Linked DNA regions of Rattus norvegicus. The protein of the gene in region 3 interacts with the protein of the main gene of each other region in a biochemical or structural test. Links are inferred from orthologs where the notes say so. Each region holds a gene or a part of one and is shown on either strand. Other genes may lie near its edges.

Region 1 (4,040 bases), on a different chromosome or scaffold from region 3:
TCAGAATTTGTGATATCCTGGCCTAAGGAATAATTATAAAGTAAATACACATATGTATTTATATACATGTGCAGTATCCATGAATATTTACATATAGTATTTTATAATCTTAGATTAGTGAATTGCAAATTCGTTACTTTATTTGTGACGGGGCAAGACAGTGCAGAGGTTCCTGTATCTTCTGGTCTTGATGAGGGCATTTCAGGTTTAATTGGAATTTGATCTCCTTGATGGACAATCCATGGAAAATTACCAAAACATGTTCTAGGACCCCAAGGTCAAGGTGCCCTAGGGAGTTTATCTTAGCATCTGTTAAACTGCCTCCTCTGGTGAAACCCAACTGAAGCTTCAAAAATCCAGTGTTCTGGACACACATACTCGGGTTACAATTGGGTCCCAAATGCCTGAGAGTAGTTCCAGTTGACTGGAATACAGACTTTCAATTGACTATAGACTGTATCAGAGTGGTTATCCTTGGGAGCCTTCCTGTAAGCAAAGCCTCAGTGCTGTCTTAAGTGAAGCAAGAGGCTGAGACCTGAGGGATTTGCTTCTGAGGAGAAAGGCAATCCTGGAAGGAAAAGAGCCAGAAAAGGAGTGCACAAATTCTGCCACTCACCTTGTGGTGAACCCCTCTAGCGTGAAGGTAGAAGGGAACCTGACAGAAGCTCAGTCAGAGGATAACTGTCCAAAGGTGCAGAGCATATATGCACAGTAACTTCCTATGTGCATGGAGAACCAGAGGTCCTCCACAGTGGGGGTGCCTGACAAACACTCCTTGGTGAGGAGGCCAGCAGGAAAGGGGACACTGAGAATGGCCCATTCTTCTGTGGGCTCCCACCTGAAATCCTACAACCCCAGTCTAATCTCCAAGAAGAACATCAGATAAAAAACGGCTGATAAGCATTGCAAAAATGCCTGGTCACAACTCAAAACCTCAAGGTCACTAAAGCAACACATGTCTGAAATATGATCTGAGTCTAGAAGAACCCAAGGGGATGCAATAATTAAACACAGTGTGTTATTCCAGATGAGAGATGGGAAAATACAAAGACAGAAAAAGGTGAGGAAATACAAATAAAGATAGGACCTCAGTAAAAATGAACAAACAGTACATCCGTAATAATGATTAAGTTATTAAAAATAACACTGGAGACAAGACCTAAGGAGATGGCTCGGGGGTAAATGGCTACTTTTACAGAAGATCAGAGTTCAAATCCTAGTACACATGGGACATCTCAAAAAGTCCCCAACTCCACCTCCAAGGGATCTGAGGTCCTCTCTGACAGAGACTATGGAGAGGACAGAGACTGTGGAGAGGACAGCATCTGAGGAGAGGTCAGTATCTGTAAAGAGGACAGAGTATGTGGGGAGGACAGAATCTGTGGGGAAGGCAGAGTCTGTGGAGAGGACAATGTCTGTGGAGAGGACAGCGTGTGTGGAGAGGATAGTGTGTGTGGAGAGGACAGTGTCTGTTGAGAGGACAGTGTCTGACAAGAGAACAGAGAATGTGGAGAGGACAGTGTCTGTGAGGAGGGCAGAGTCTGTGGAGAGGACAGTGTGTGTGGAGAGGGCAGTGTCTGTGGAGAGGACAGTGTCTGACAAGAGAACAGAGAATGTGGAGAGGACAGTGTCTGTGAGGAGGGCAGAGTCTGTGGAGAGGACAGTGTGTGTGGAGAGGGCAGTGTCTGTGGAGAGGACAGTGTCTGACAAGAGAACAGAGAATGTGGAGAGGACAGTGTCTGCAAAGAGGGCAACATCTGTGGAGAGGGCAGCGTCTGTGCAGAGGACAGTGCCTGTGGACAGGATAGCATTTGCTGAGAGCAGATATACAGGAGGCGAAAATGAGTGGAGAGTAGGAGATATACTAGGGTTTGATTAGCTGATATCCAATGAACCTTTATGTGTTGTCACCACTTGGAAATTCAAGAGAGCTTGTAAGTCACATGTCCTGCCTTCCCATTCCTCCCTGGTCCAGTTAGAAGTGCTTTGAACCTCATGTGGCTATATTCATGTCTCCTCATGCTCTCAGCTTCCCAGGCTGGAGACAGACCACAGATTAGGACTCTGAACCCCTCTGGTAGGTGAGAGAGTTAGTGTCCCAGGAAAGAGCAGCCCCTAGAATTTCACCATGGCTCTAACACTTCTTTATGTCCACCTGACTATGCACTGGCCTCCCTTTCTCCCTTGGCTTTCTAATTTTCCTCATTTCTGGGATGAATTCCTCCATTTCCTTCCTTAATCTCTGACTAGCACTATGAGAGATGAAGAATGGGAGGTAGGGAATGCAATTAAGAATGTATCTAACAAGAGGCCGATGCCATGGCTGTAATCCTGGCCTCAGGAACTGCTTCCTGGACTTGACATTTACCTCTGCCCTCCTTGTGACCTCTGTAACTGTGGTTCACAGTTACTCTCCTTCCATCAATCTTAAGTCAAGTAGGAAATAATAATAGTAATTACTTCATACAGTGGTCATGATAATTAAAGAAATTAATACAAGGAAAGTACAATTCTGTAAATTTTAATCATTATTTACTTTTACTAGAATCCCACCATGTCTTAGAAGTAATTGTGTTTCCACGTCGAATATGCAGTACTGATGTTTGGATAACTGTAGCCATTTCTTCTCCCGGAGTTCCATGCACTATGCTGTGGAGTGCCTAGCAATTGATCTCAAGTGATGGTGGTGTCCTGATAGCGCTATCTTTGGCTCAGATACAGCTTTCTATTTTCGAAGTGCTTGTACGGACATTATCTCAGTTAATCTTCACAGGAGCATGGCGAGATAATTGGGACAGCATTTACTATTCCCACCTACAAGATGAGTAAAGAGGAAGAGGGGCTTGCTTACTATTTACAAGGAGGGCAGAAACAGGCATCCCAGGGCTCCCAATCTCTTGCTTTTGCAAGCTTAACTTTTACACTGAACTGTTAGCCCTGGCCACAGAGGACGAAGGAGAGAGAGTAGCTCTTCCACCTCCAAAGGCTCATGTACCCTCCCAATAAATCCAGTATGCCTAAAACCATGTTCATGGTTGGTATGTTCAGAGACCTCTCCCTCTTGTCTGGTGTCTGTGTGCACCACTGCAGGTTGACCAAGAGAACAATTTATACTGTTAGTTATGGAGAAGTCTCAATAGCCTACAGCAGAGTTCTTTACCTTTACAGTAAGGTTAAGATTGGCATTAGAGAGAGTCATTTTCTCTCAGACTATTTTGTGTTATTTGGGTTGGGTTATTCTGAATTCAAACAGAAAAACAGGGGATCAGTGAATTACCACTATCATCTTCAGACAGTCTCAGACAGACCAGAACTAAGGCTACTGTTAATAATAATAATAATAATAATAATAATAATAATAATAATAATAATAAATAATTGTGATATTTTATCCAGGAAGCAAAACTCTTGGCAAAGTTCCTTTCCTTACCTAGCCTGCCTTTGCTCCACCTTCCACCCTCTTTCGTGTACCCATCCTTTCTCTTCCCCTATCCTCGCTCTCGATCGTCTACTGTACATCCTTCCACCCATCATCTGTTCATCTATACATCTTCTACCTTCCACGCTCCACCTCCCATCTCCTACCCTGCACCTACTCACCCTCCGTCCACACATCTGTCCTCTCCCCATACAGCAAATCACTCACTCACTCATCGGAACTCTTAGCCACTGAGGAATAACATCGCAAACATAACAAAGAAGGTATTCAGATACTTTTTATGGCAAATTATCTCTGATTGGTAGGACAATTTAAAAGCAATTAGTTCTACTAATCATGTCAAAAGGAAAGCATTTTCTACAAACTGCTACAGTCAAATATATAGTTCCAAGGCTTTGATATAATACCTAAAGTAAGATAAACTTAGTTACAAGTTTATTATATAAATATAATATACTTACATATAAATATAAAATATAAAAATACGTAAATATTAGTATTATTTAACAAATGTGTGTTAAATGTATAGTATTTCATTTTTCCCAATATTTTCTAAATATATCAGATTTAATCAAGACTTCTAAATGCTAGGCTAGCATAC
Region 2 (4,110 bases), on a different chromosome or scaffold from region 3:
ACATGGCCTATTTTAACAAAGGATTATAGTTAAAAGACAACTTGGAAGACATGCAACTCAGTCTCATCGTTTTCCAGATGGAAAACTAAAACTCAGGCAGGGCACCAAAATGCCAAGGACACACAGGTAGTTGGTGGTGGAGGTAATATGACAGAACTATATATTATATCCAGTAATAGTTTTCCCATCAACACCAGGAAGCATATTCTTGTTTTTGACTTTCTCTCCACCACTCTCACATCAGTACAATATAGCTTTTTATACATTGGAACAGAAAAACATCACAAAAAGTTGAGTGAAGGTCCCAGAGAAAATTTAAACTTCCCTGTATCAAGGCTAAGGATACTTGTTGCATTAATGAGCTAAGTTTCAGCGGGGACACTTTCCCTTCTGCAGTGGAACTTCCTGAGCATTCTGCCTTTGTTCACCAAATCCCATGGCAGTAAAAGAAAAAAAAATACAATCCTCATCTTTGAAGAAACCTCTCCAGCTACTTTTTCTTCCTAATGCCCTCACCCCGTTCCTGCTGTTTCTTGACTGCAAAGAAAAACTGTCACCAACTCAGGAGTATCTCTGAAAATAGGTAGGAGGGAGCCATACACCTGTCAAAGCTATGGAGGAAAGTGCTGGAGTTCTTAGTTTCTTCTCTTGCTGCAAAAGAAAGAAAAGGCACTGACTAAATCTGAGGTTTCTTCTGAAGACCTGCTGAAGAATGTGGTTAGTTTGACTAGACTTGGTCCTTAGGAAGATGGACAGTGGGGTGCCACCTTATATTTCCTCTTGGCTTCAGCTTCCCTCCAAGACAGAGGGTGCCTAATACAAGAGAAACCGCTGGTTAAGGACTTTAGTCAAGAGTCGGGGGTTCCAGAATGTCCTGTATTTTTCTGAGCATAGCTAGCACAAGAGGGCTAGCTTTAGAAACTGAAATCCCCTCTCCTCCCGCCCCCTTTCACGGCTGCTCCACTTCTGGACTCCCTATCTTTCTGCTAGCACCCACAGTCAAGGATCAGACTCAGGGGTTCCCGATCAGTCAGCACTAACATCCCGGCTCATCCCAAGTGGATGTCTGCAGTTGCTAGAACATGGGCGTGGGTGTTGGTGGACCTGAGGTTTCAGTCCCAGAGTTGGGGAAGAGAGCTTAGCCCTGAAATCCATAGATTCCCTGGGGACTACGAAACTCCCCTGAAGAGGCAACCTCCGGGCTCCCGGGCCACCCACCCATTCCTCCACCCGCCCCCCTTACCTCAGCACGCAGCCCCTCCCTGCGTGATGATGCAAACCGGTGGGGAGGGCGGGCTGCTGGGAAGGGTGGGGAGAGATGGATAGCAAGCAAGGGAGGGAGAGAGGGAGTGGGAGGAGGAGGAGGAGGAGAGGGAGCCCAACGACCATTTAAAGCGATAGCAATCCCTGCCCTCTCCCCAGTGCTTGGCTGTTGGAGAGCGCAAGAGGCAAGCCAGGGAACGGGGAGCGCAAGCTGGTGCGCCGGCCAGCGGAGCCACAGTGCCAGGTGCCAAAGACTGGCTGACGCCCTGGGACACCCCCACCCTCTCCTGCTGCACCTCCTCGGTCTCCTCCACCCTCTGTGCCTACAGAAGTCCCTGGGCTTCCCCCAAAGGAGCTCACCTCCAGAAGCCCGGACCTGGGAGAGCCCACCAGCATACCCTCCAGCGCCGCCGCCGCCGCTACCGCAGCAGCATCCGGAGCGGCATGGTCCAGCTGGGGAAGCTGCTCCGCGTCCTGACTTTGATGAAGTTCCCCTGCTGCGTGCTGGAGGTGCTCCTGTGCGTGCTGGCGGCGGCGGCGCGCGGCCAGGAGATGTACGCCCCGCACTCGATCCGGATCGAGGGGGACGTCACCCTTGGGGGGTTGTTCCCAGTGCACGCCAAGGGTCCCAGCGGAGTGCCCTGCGGCGACATCAAGAGGGAGAATGGGATCCACAGGCTGGAAGCTATGCTTTATGCCCTGGACCAGATCAACAGCGATCCCAACCTGCTGCCCAATGTAACGTTAGGCGCGCGGATCCTGGACACTTGTTCCAGGGACACTTATGCGCTCGAACAGTCGCTCACTTTCGTCCAGGCGCTTATCCAGAAGGACACCTCCGACGTGCGTTGCACCAACGGAGAGCCCCCGGTTTTCGTCAAGCCAGAGAAAGTAGTTGGAGTGATTGGGGCTTCGGGGAGCTCCGTCTCCATCATGGTAGCCAACATCTTGAGGCTTTTTCAGGTAGGGGGGCGCTCCCTTTGGGGAGGAGCATTCTGTGGCTCCCTGCGCTCTAACCTTAAAAGCTGTTTTGGACTTCTTGGGTTGCAGGGGTCAGGCCAGCACTCCGACATTTCTACCCTGGATATCCTGCTGAATCCCTCCCACCCCACCCAAGGAGGTATCTTCCTTGCTTAGTTTACTCCTCTTTTATGTTTTCCCCTGTCCACGCTCCACTCCATACGGCATGACTCCCCGGATTTGTGGTCCCATTTACAAGAAGCAATCTTCGGAAAAACAAGGCGATGATTTAAATGGTTTGCATTAGAGTGAAATATGGTTCGGAAACAGGCTTGAAAAAGTGCCTGGGCTCCTAGGGGAGCAGGTTAGGCACCAGGAATATGAAAAATTAGAAGATGCTTTGAAAATGGCATTGCTCAACTCCCCAGCTTCCCATGCCTAAGCCATTTAGGAAACCTCGACTTCATGGAAATATTCTCGAAGACCTCAAGAAGCCCCTTCTTCGAATGAGGGTTGGGGTTTACCCGTTTACCCGCATGTGGATGATAATTGCCCGTGTCTTTGGGGTTGAATTTCCGACCTGTAGCGGGTCTCCATCAGAGGCATGGGGTACCCGCCCCACTGGGGAGACCCCGCCTGCTGACGTGATCCCCCTGAGTTGGTTTCCTCCTGGCAATTTTGTGCACCGCCTAAATTGCATTTGCAGTCCGGCCAGTGGCAGGAGCTGGGCGATCAGCTAGCTTTCCGCTGCCACTTCAGACCTCAGCTGGGGATGAGCTCATGCTAACTGCGAAATAAAATCGCTTTCACAGACTGCTCCCTGCGCACTAGTCCCCCTCCCTCACTCATGCAGCCCCACACCCAGAATCCCAGCCTCCGAGCTGGGAAACTGAACCTGCTTTGCCCAGGAACAGTGGGTGTGCTAAAGAGGGTTATGCAGGTCTCATGCCCTGGGTTCAAAAACAGGAGGAAGGCGGACCTAGGGCTGATGAGCAGTAGGTCCAACCGCAGTGCTCTGCCTTTGGTCCCTGCAGCCTCTGTTTCCATGCTTCCTTGCTGCACTGGGTCGAAATGGATAGTTTTGAGGATTAGAAATTGAGTTCAGTGGACTCTGTGATAAGGTGTCCTTATGCTTCTTTTTCTTTCGTTTCCTCATTCAGTTTCCCCTCCTCACAAGCCTTTCTCAACCTCTGTTTCCTTTCCTTATACTCAAGTTCTTGCCTTGAGTCAGTTTGGGTGTGACTTTCCTATCCTAGGGCTTGCTCCCTGTTTGATGGTAGCCAGATCCTGCCAACCCCTTCCCTTAATTGTGCAAGATGGTCCCTGCAGGGTTGGCTGCCGAAGTCTAAGAAGTGACGCTTGTTCACATGCTATCCCTAAGGTTAGGAGTTTTATGAGGGAACTGCTGATGATGGCCAGGTCAGCAGAGGACCTGCATGATCTCTAGGAGAGGGAACTTTGTGCTCAAGTAGCAGAAGTGCTCACCTGAAGCTAGAGAGTCCCTTCTGATAAATGGAGCATACCAGTGACTCCTGGATGTGCCTGTCTGGAGACTTCTGGCTGCTTGCAGTCTCCTAAAGTGATTTGAGGGCAGACTTCACTCTACCTTGCTTGAATCTTGAACAGCCTCGACTTTTGCTATCAAAATTAAAGAGATTTTTGTTCCTCTCTGAGCTCGAAGTTTGGCAGCTTGGGGTGGGGGAACTGTAGCAGAAGAAAGAATCAAGATATGAGTTGATACAAAAGCTGAGGGGTGTGTGTGTGTGTGTGTGTGTGTGTGTGTGTGTGTGTGTGTGTGTGTGTGTGTTGGGGATTTTCTCACAAGGCTTGAGGGGTAGACTGCTCATTCTGTGTTGATCATTTTAATATTATTTCTCTGCCTGGGTT
Region 3 (4,243 bases):
TCCTGGTGGGCTGGAGAGGTGGCTCAGCGGTTAAGAGCACCCAACTACTCTTCCAGAGGTCCTGAGTTCAATTCCCAGCAACCACATGGTGGCTCACAACCATCTGTAAAGAGATCCGATGCCCTCTTCTGGTGTATCTGAAGACAGCTACAGTGTACTTATATATAATAAATGAATAAAAAAAGTTTCCTGGTGATAATTAACTTGATAGTGTGCACATCAAAGCTCAAGACACGACTACATTGAAACTCTTTGTAAAGTACAAGTGGTATCTTCCATAAAGATTTGGTCTACAGATTTACTGGGAAAAGTAGGTCAAGATAAGGGTTGGGGAAGTATACAGTGTGGTCTTGACCATGCAGACAGAGCTATTACCCAGCTATTAACCACATCTGTTCCCAGCCTTCTAGGCAGAAAACGGGTTATATATCTTATCATTAAGTGACAATCCTGTGATTAGCATTCCTGGTTCCCCTAGTGATTATCTATGAGCACCAGGGGCCTCCGTGCCTCCTCCACACTCCGCCCCCAGCTGAGGAAGGACACCGGTCCCACTCTGCCTAGATGAGGTGGTTGCTAGCACCGTGGTCCCTGGAGGGTCATTCTCTTGCAGTGAACCCATTGGACATAATCATTGGCACCGGAAGTTGGTAAGAAGATAAGATTGGAGCTCCCGAGCTGGGAAGCACTGATGGTGTTTGTTGAGCCTCAGGAACATGGGGCCGTATCTTCAATAGAACTCCAGGGCCCTTGGGACTAAGGAAGGAGGTTTGGTGTGAGAGATTCTTTGCCAAAAAAACTTTTACTGGATGGTAATGTTTGTGGGGGAAAGACGTCAAATCTGAAAGAGGCAAAATTCACAGCTCCGAATTTAGCGCAGATGTTCAAAGATCCCAGACTGGCGGAAGGGGTCTCAGGGCCAAGATCTGGATCTTACACCAACTGTTATTATGTCTGAAAAAAGTTACTCCCTTTCTCAGATACTTAATTTCTTTCTTTGTGAGACTGGGATTTAGCGGGAACCTTACAGCACTAACTAAAGCTTTGTAGTGGAGGAGACACAGGTTTTTCTTAGGAAGCGGTATTGAAAATATGAAAACCAAGGTCTTGAGGTTTGCAATTCACTGAACTTTCACTAGCCCCAGGATGCTTCCGTTGCCCCGGCAACCGCCCGGCTAAGTGGTCCCCAGAGTGTCGCTAAGGAAGCTGGGAAGAGCTCTGTCCTCTCCAAGATGGCGGCAACGACAAGGGCGGGGTCCGGAGCCGCCAGCATGTCTAAACCTTTTCCTCCTTTTCCTTTTTTTCATACTAACGGCGAGCTTCCATCAACACTTGTTCTTTTTCCTGGTTCAGAGAGTCCCGGAGCAGAGACAGAAGGGGTGCCCGCAGGGATTGGGGCAAATACCCAAGGGGAGAGGCGGGACTTCCGCGTCCAACCGGAAGTGACGCGACAGTCGCGGTCGCCGCCAGGTGGAACGGCAGGTGGGTTCAGGTGCCAGCCTGGCCCGGGCCTGGCTGTGGGACGGACTCTCTCGGTGAGCGACTGAAGCGGCTCCCAAGGGTCTGGAGACCGTGGGGCGGGCTCCAGAATCCGAGCCCATCGCCCTGGCCTGGGGTCCTCCCCTGTACCAAGTAAGAATCACCTACCCCCACACCCCCACGCCGCGCCCTTCCAGCCTGAGGCTCCCTCTCCCAGTCTAGAGGGGAGGGGACCAGAGGCCGGCTGTCCGGGTGGGGGAGGGGTGGGAGCTTGGGGCTGGCATCTGGGCATTTCAGTTCCCTGAAGCCCTGTGCTCTTTTCTCCGTCAGACCCAGTTTCCTATTCCCCTCCCGAACTGGGCAGTTAGCCAGTCGGCCCCAGCTCTCGGAACCATGTTTGCAGACTTAGACTATGACATCGAGGAGGATAAATTGTGAGTATATTCTTTCCCAAGACCTGAGAACTGAGGACCCAGTTCCCTCGTGTCCTTGGGTGCCCTGGCTCCACACATTCTTTCTTTTTAGTGTACGGGAGTAGAAATGGTCCCAGACATCCCAGTAGTAGATCACTTGTAGGGGGTTGTGACAGGTTAACAGATAACACGACTTGGGCCATGTGAACCCTGAAGGCATTATCCAGGTAATGCTAGGGTGGTCTGGGAAGGTGTTCCAAAGCAGGTAACAGAGCCAGGTTGCAAAAGCTGCATGGAATGCCACCATCAGACCTTCCTCCCAGCACAGGTGATTAGTAATCAGAAATCATATTTGTCTGACCCTTAGAAAGAATGAGCCATCTCCTGGCCTTGTGTGTCGTTAGTCCTTAATAAGAGGTGGGTAGCCGTTGGTTGTTAGGAAATTGGTCTTCAGTAACCAAGCTGACATCTGAACCTGTTCACCACAAGACAGCCTAAGTTGTATTGTGAGTGCTGGGGTGTCTGAGCAGGAAGATGGCTGGAAGATAGTTGAGTAACCTTCTAAAGGAAGGGGGTTGTCATGTCCTGCAAGTACCTGAGAAAGGTTACAAAAAGTTTCCTTGGAGTTTAGTCTCACTGCAGATTTTTGGCAACCCTGGCTTTGACCCCACCACTGACTCTTGAGCAGTTCTGGTACAAATTGCTCTTTCTGGATGAGAAAGGAAGAGGCTACTTTATATAGGTTGTTGGAGCTTTTCTGGACATGGGACCCTGCTCCTTCCAGTCAGCGTTTGACCAGAATTCACTGTCACTTGCTTCTCTTCCCAGAGGAATCCCCACTGTGCCCGGGAAGGTCACCCTGCAGAAGGATGCTCAGAACCTGATTGGCATCAGCATCGGAGGAGGGGCCCAGTACTGTCCTTGTCTCTACATTGTCCAGGTATGAAACATACGTTGGAGGTCAGGGTAAGGTCCTGGGTGGAGTGTCGCACCTCCCTTCGTGAGCATGTCAGAAAGAGGTTCATTTCTCCACTCCGAAAAAACACTAGCTCCAGAGGCTGGGAGAGGGCTGAGTCAGTAAAGTGCTTGCCATGTAAACTTGAGTAGCGGGGTTCACGTCCAGGCACCTGCGTAAAACACTGATGAGCTGGGTGTTCTTTCTTGTAACCATAGTACTGGGGAGGTGGCCACAGGTGGCCCTAGGCCACCTAACTTAATAGGTGAGTTTGAGGTGACAGATTTCCTGCGCACACCCCTGCCGCCCAACAAAAAGGTGGTTAGTACCTGAGGAATGAAAGCAAAGAGTGGCTGTCCTGCACACACATATGCATACATACATGCATACATAGTATGCATGTGCATACATACATAGTATATACGTACATTTGCATACATAAATGCACACAGACACATACCTGCATTTGCCAACAGATAAAGGTCGATCTTGTTTCTTTAAAATTTTACGATTGCATTTGCATGCGTGTGCTTGATGTGTGTATATGAGTGTGTATATGTGAGTGTGGGCTCACTCTTATCAGTCACACACTGGTCAGAGGACAGCCCTCAAAAGTCAGTTTCCTCCTGTGAGACCCCCCATTTGAAATCAGGCCATCGGGCTTGCACGGTCGACACTTTACCCCGCCAAGCCATCTTACCTGCCCTGCCTGAGGTCTGGTCTTAGCAACACTGCCCGGTGCTCTTGAGTGGGGATGGTCCCCACTTCCTTTTCTACCTGTTCTTCCCTCCCAGCTTGTTCTGATCTTGCTACCTGGCAGACGCTTGTCGGCCTCACACTGAAGTTAGTGCTGGTTACTGCCTGGTGTGTAACATACTCAGTAAAAATGTCTCAAATGAGTTTTGTTTGCTGAAGGGGGAAGGCTGTGAGATAACAATGTCTCTGTTGGGTGTGGTAGCATCACACCTGCAGTCTCTACACTTGGGAGGTGGCAGCGGGGAAGGTCAGCAATTCAGAGACCTGCTGGGCTACACAGTGAGTTTGATACCAATGTGGGCTGCTAGAGACCCTGTCTCAGCAAACAGACAAGCAGAGTAGTAGCCCAAGGTTTGTATGTGAATGGCCCTGAGTACCAGTGAGTTTCTTAATCACTCTGGGCCTCAGTTTGCTTATGTGGTAAGTGAGGATTTAAAAATAGGTAACCCAGGTTTGATTCCCAGCATCCACATCAGACAGTTCACAACCACCTGTAAGTCAAGTTCCATGGGATCTGATGCCCTCTTTGGCCTCCTGCCCCTGCATGCATACAGTGCACAAATGTTTACTCATATACATTACATACATAGACATGAAATTATAAAATTAAATATTGAAAACCTCTATGGAGCTACAGGAG

The links. The genes of interacting proteins can lie anywhere in the genome.
Region 1: the proteins of Pick1 (region 3) and Prkn form a complex in vitro, tested with the Homo sapiens proteins (3 studies listed by BioGRID and IntAct, with this or other methods). The link is inferred for Rattus norvegicus from reciprocal best matches to the Homo sapiens genes PICK1 and PRKN.
Region 2: the proteins of Pick1 (region 3) and Grm7 form a complex in vitro, tested with the Homo sapiens proteins (2 studies listed by BioGRID, with this or other methods). The link is inferred for Rattus norvegicus from reciprocal best matches to the Homo sapiens genes PICK1 and GRM7.

The regions. Positions count from the first base shown.
Region 1 is NC_086019.1:52,212,932-52,216,971, forward strand, and holds the start of Prkn (E3 ubiquitin-protein ligase parkin), read right to left. Parts: upstream 2,801-4,040; 5' UTR 2,642-2,800; coding exon 2,554-2,641; intron 1-2,553. UniProt on the Homo sapiens protein: Functions within a multiprotein E3 ubiquitin ligase complex, catalyzing the covalent attachment of ubiquitin moieties onto substrate proteins. Substrates include SYT11 and VDAC1.
Region 2 is NC_086022.1:145,285,416-145,289,525, forward strand, and holds the start of Grm7 (metabotropic glutamate receptor 7 precursor), read left to right. Parts: upstream 1-1,310; 5' UTR 1,311-1,707; coding exon 1,708-2,226; intron 2,227-4,110. UniProt on the Homo sapiens protein: G-protein coupled receptor activated by glutamate that regulates axon outgrowth through the MAPK-cAMP-PKA signaling pathway during neuronal development.
Region 3 is NC_086025.1:112,676,102-112,680,344, forward strand, and holds the start of Pick1 (PRKCA-binding protein), read left to right. Parts: upstream 1-1,443; 5' UTR 1,444-1,632; exon of another isoform or gene 1,633-1,809; 5' UTR 1,810-1,872; coding exon 1,873-1,913; exon of another isoform or gene 1,914-2,720; coding exon 2,721-2,832; exon of another isoform or gene 2,833-3,019; intron 3,020-3,547; exon of another isoform or gene 3,548-3,838; intron 3,839-4,243. UniProt on the Homo sapiens protein: Probable adapter protein that bind to and organize the subcellular localization of a variety of membrane proteins containing some PDZ recognition sequence.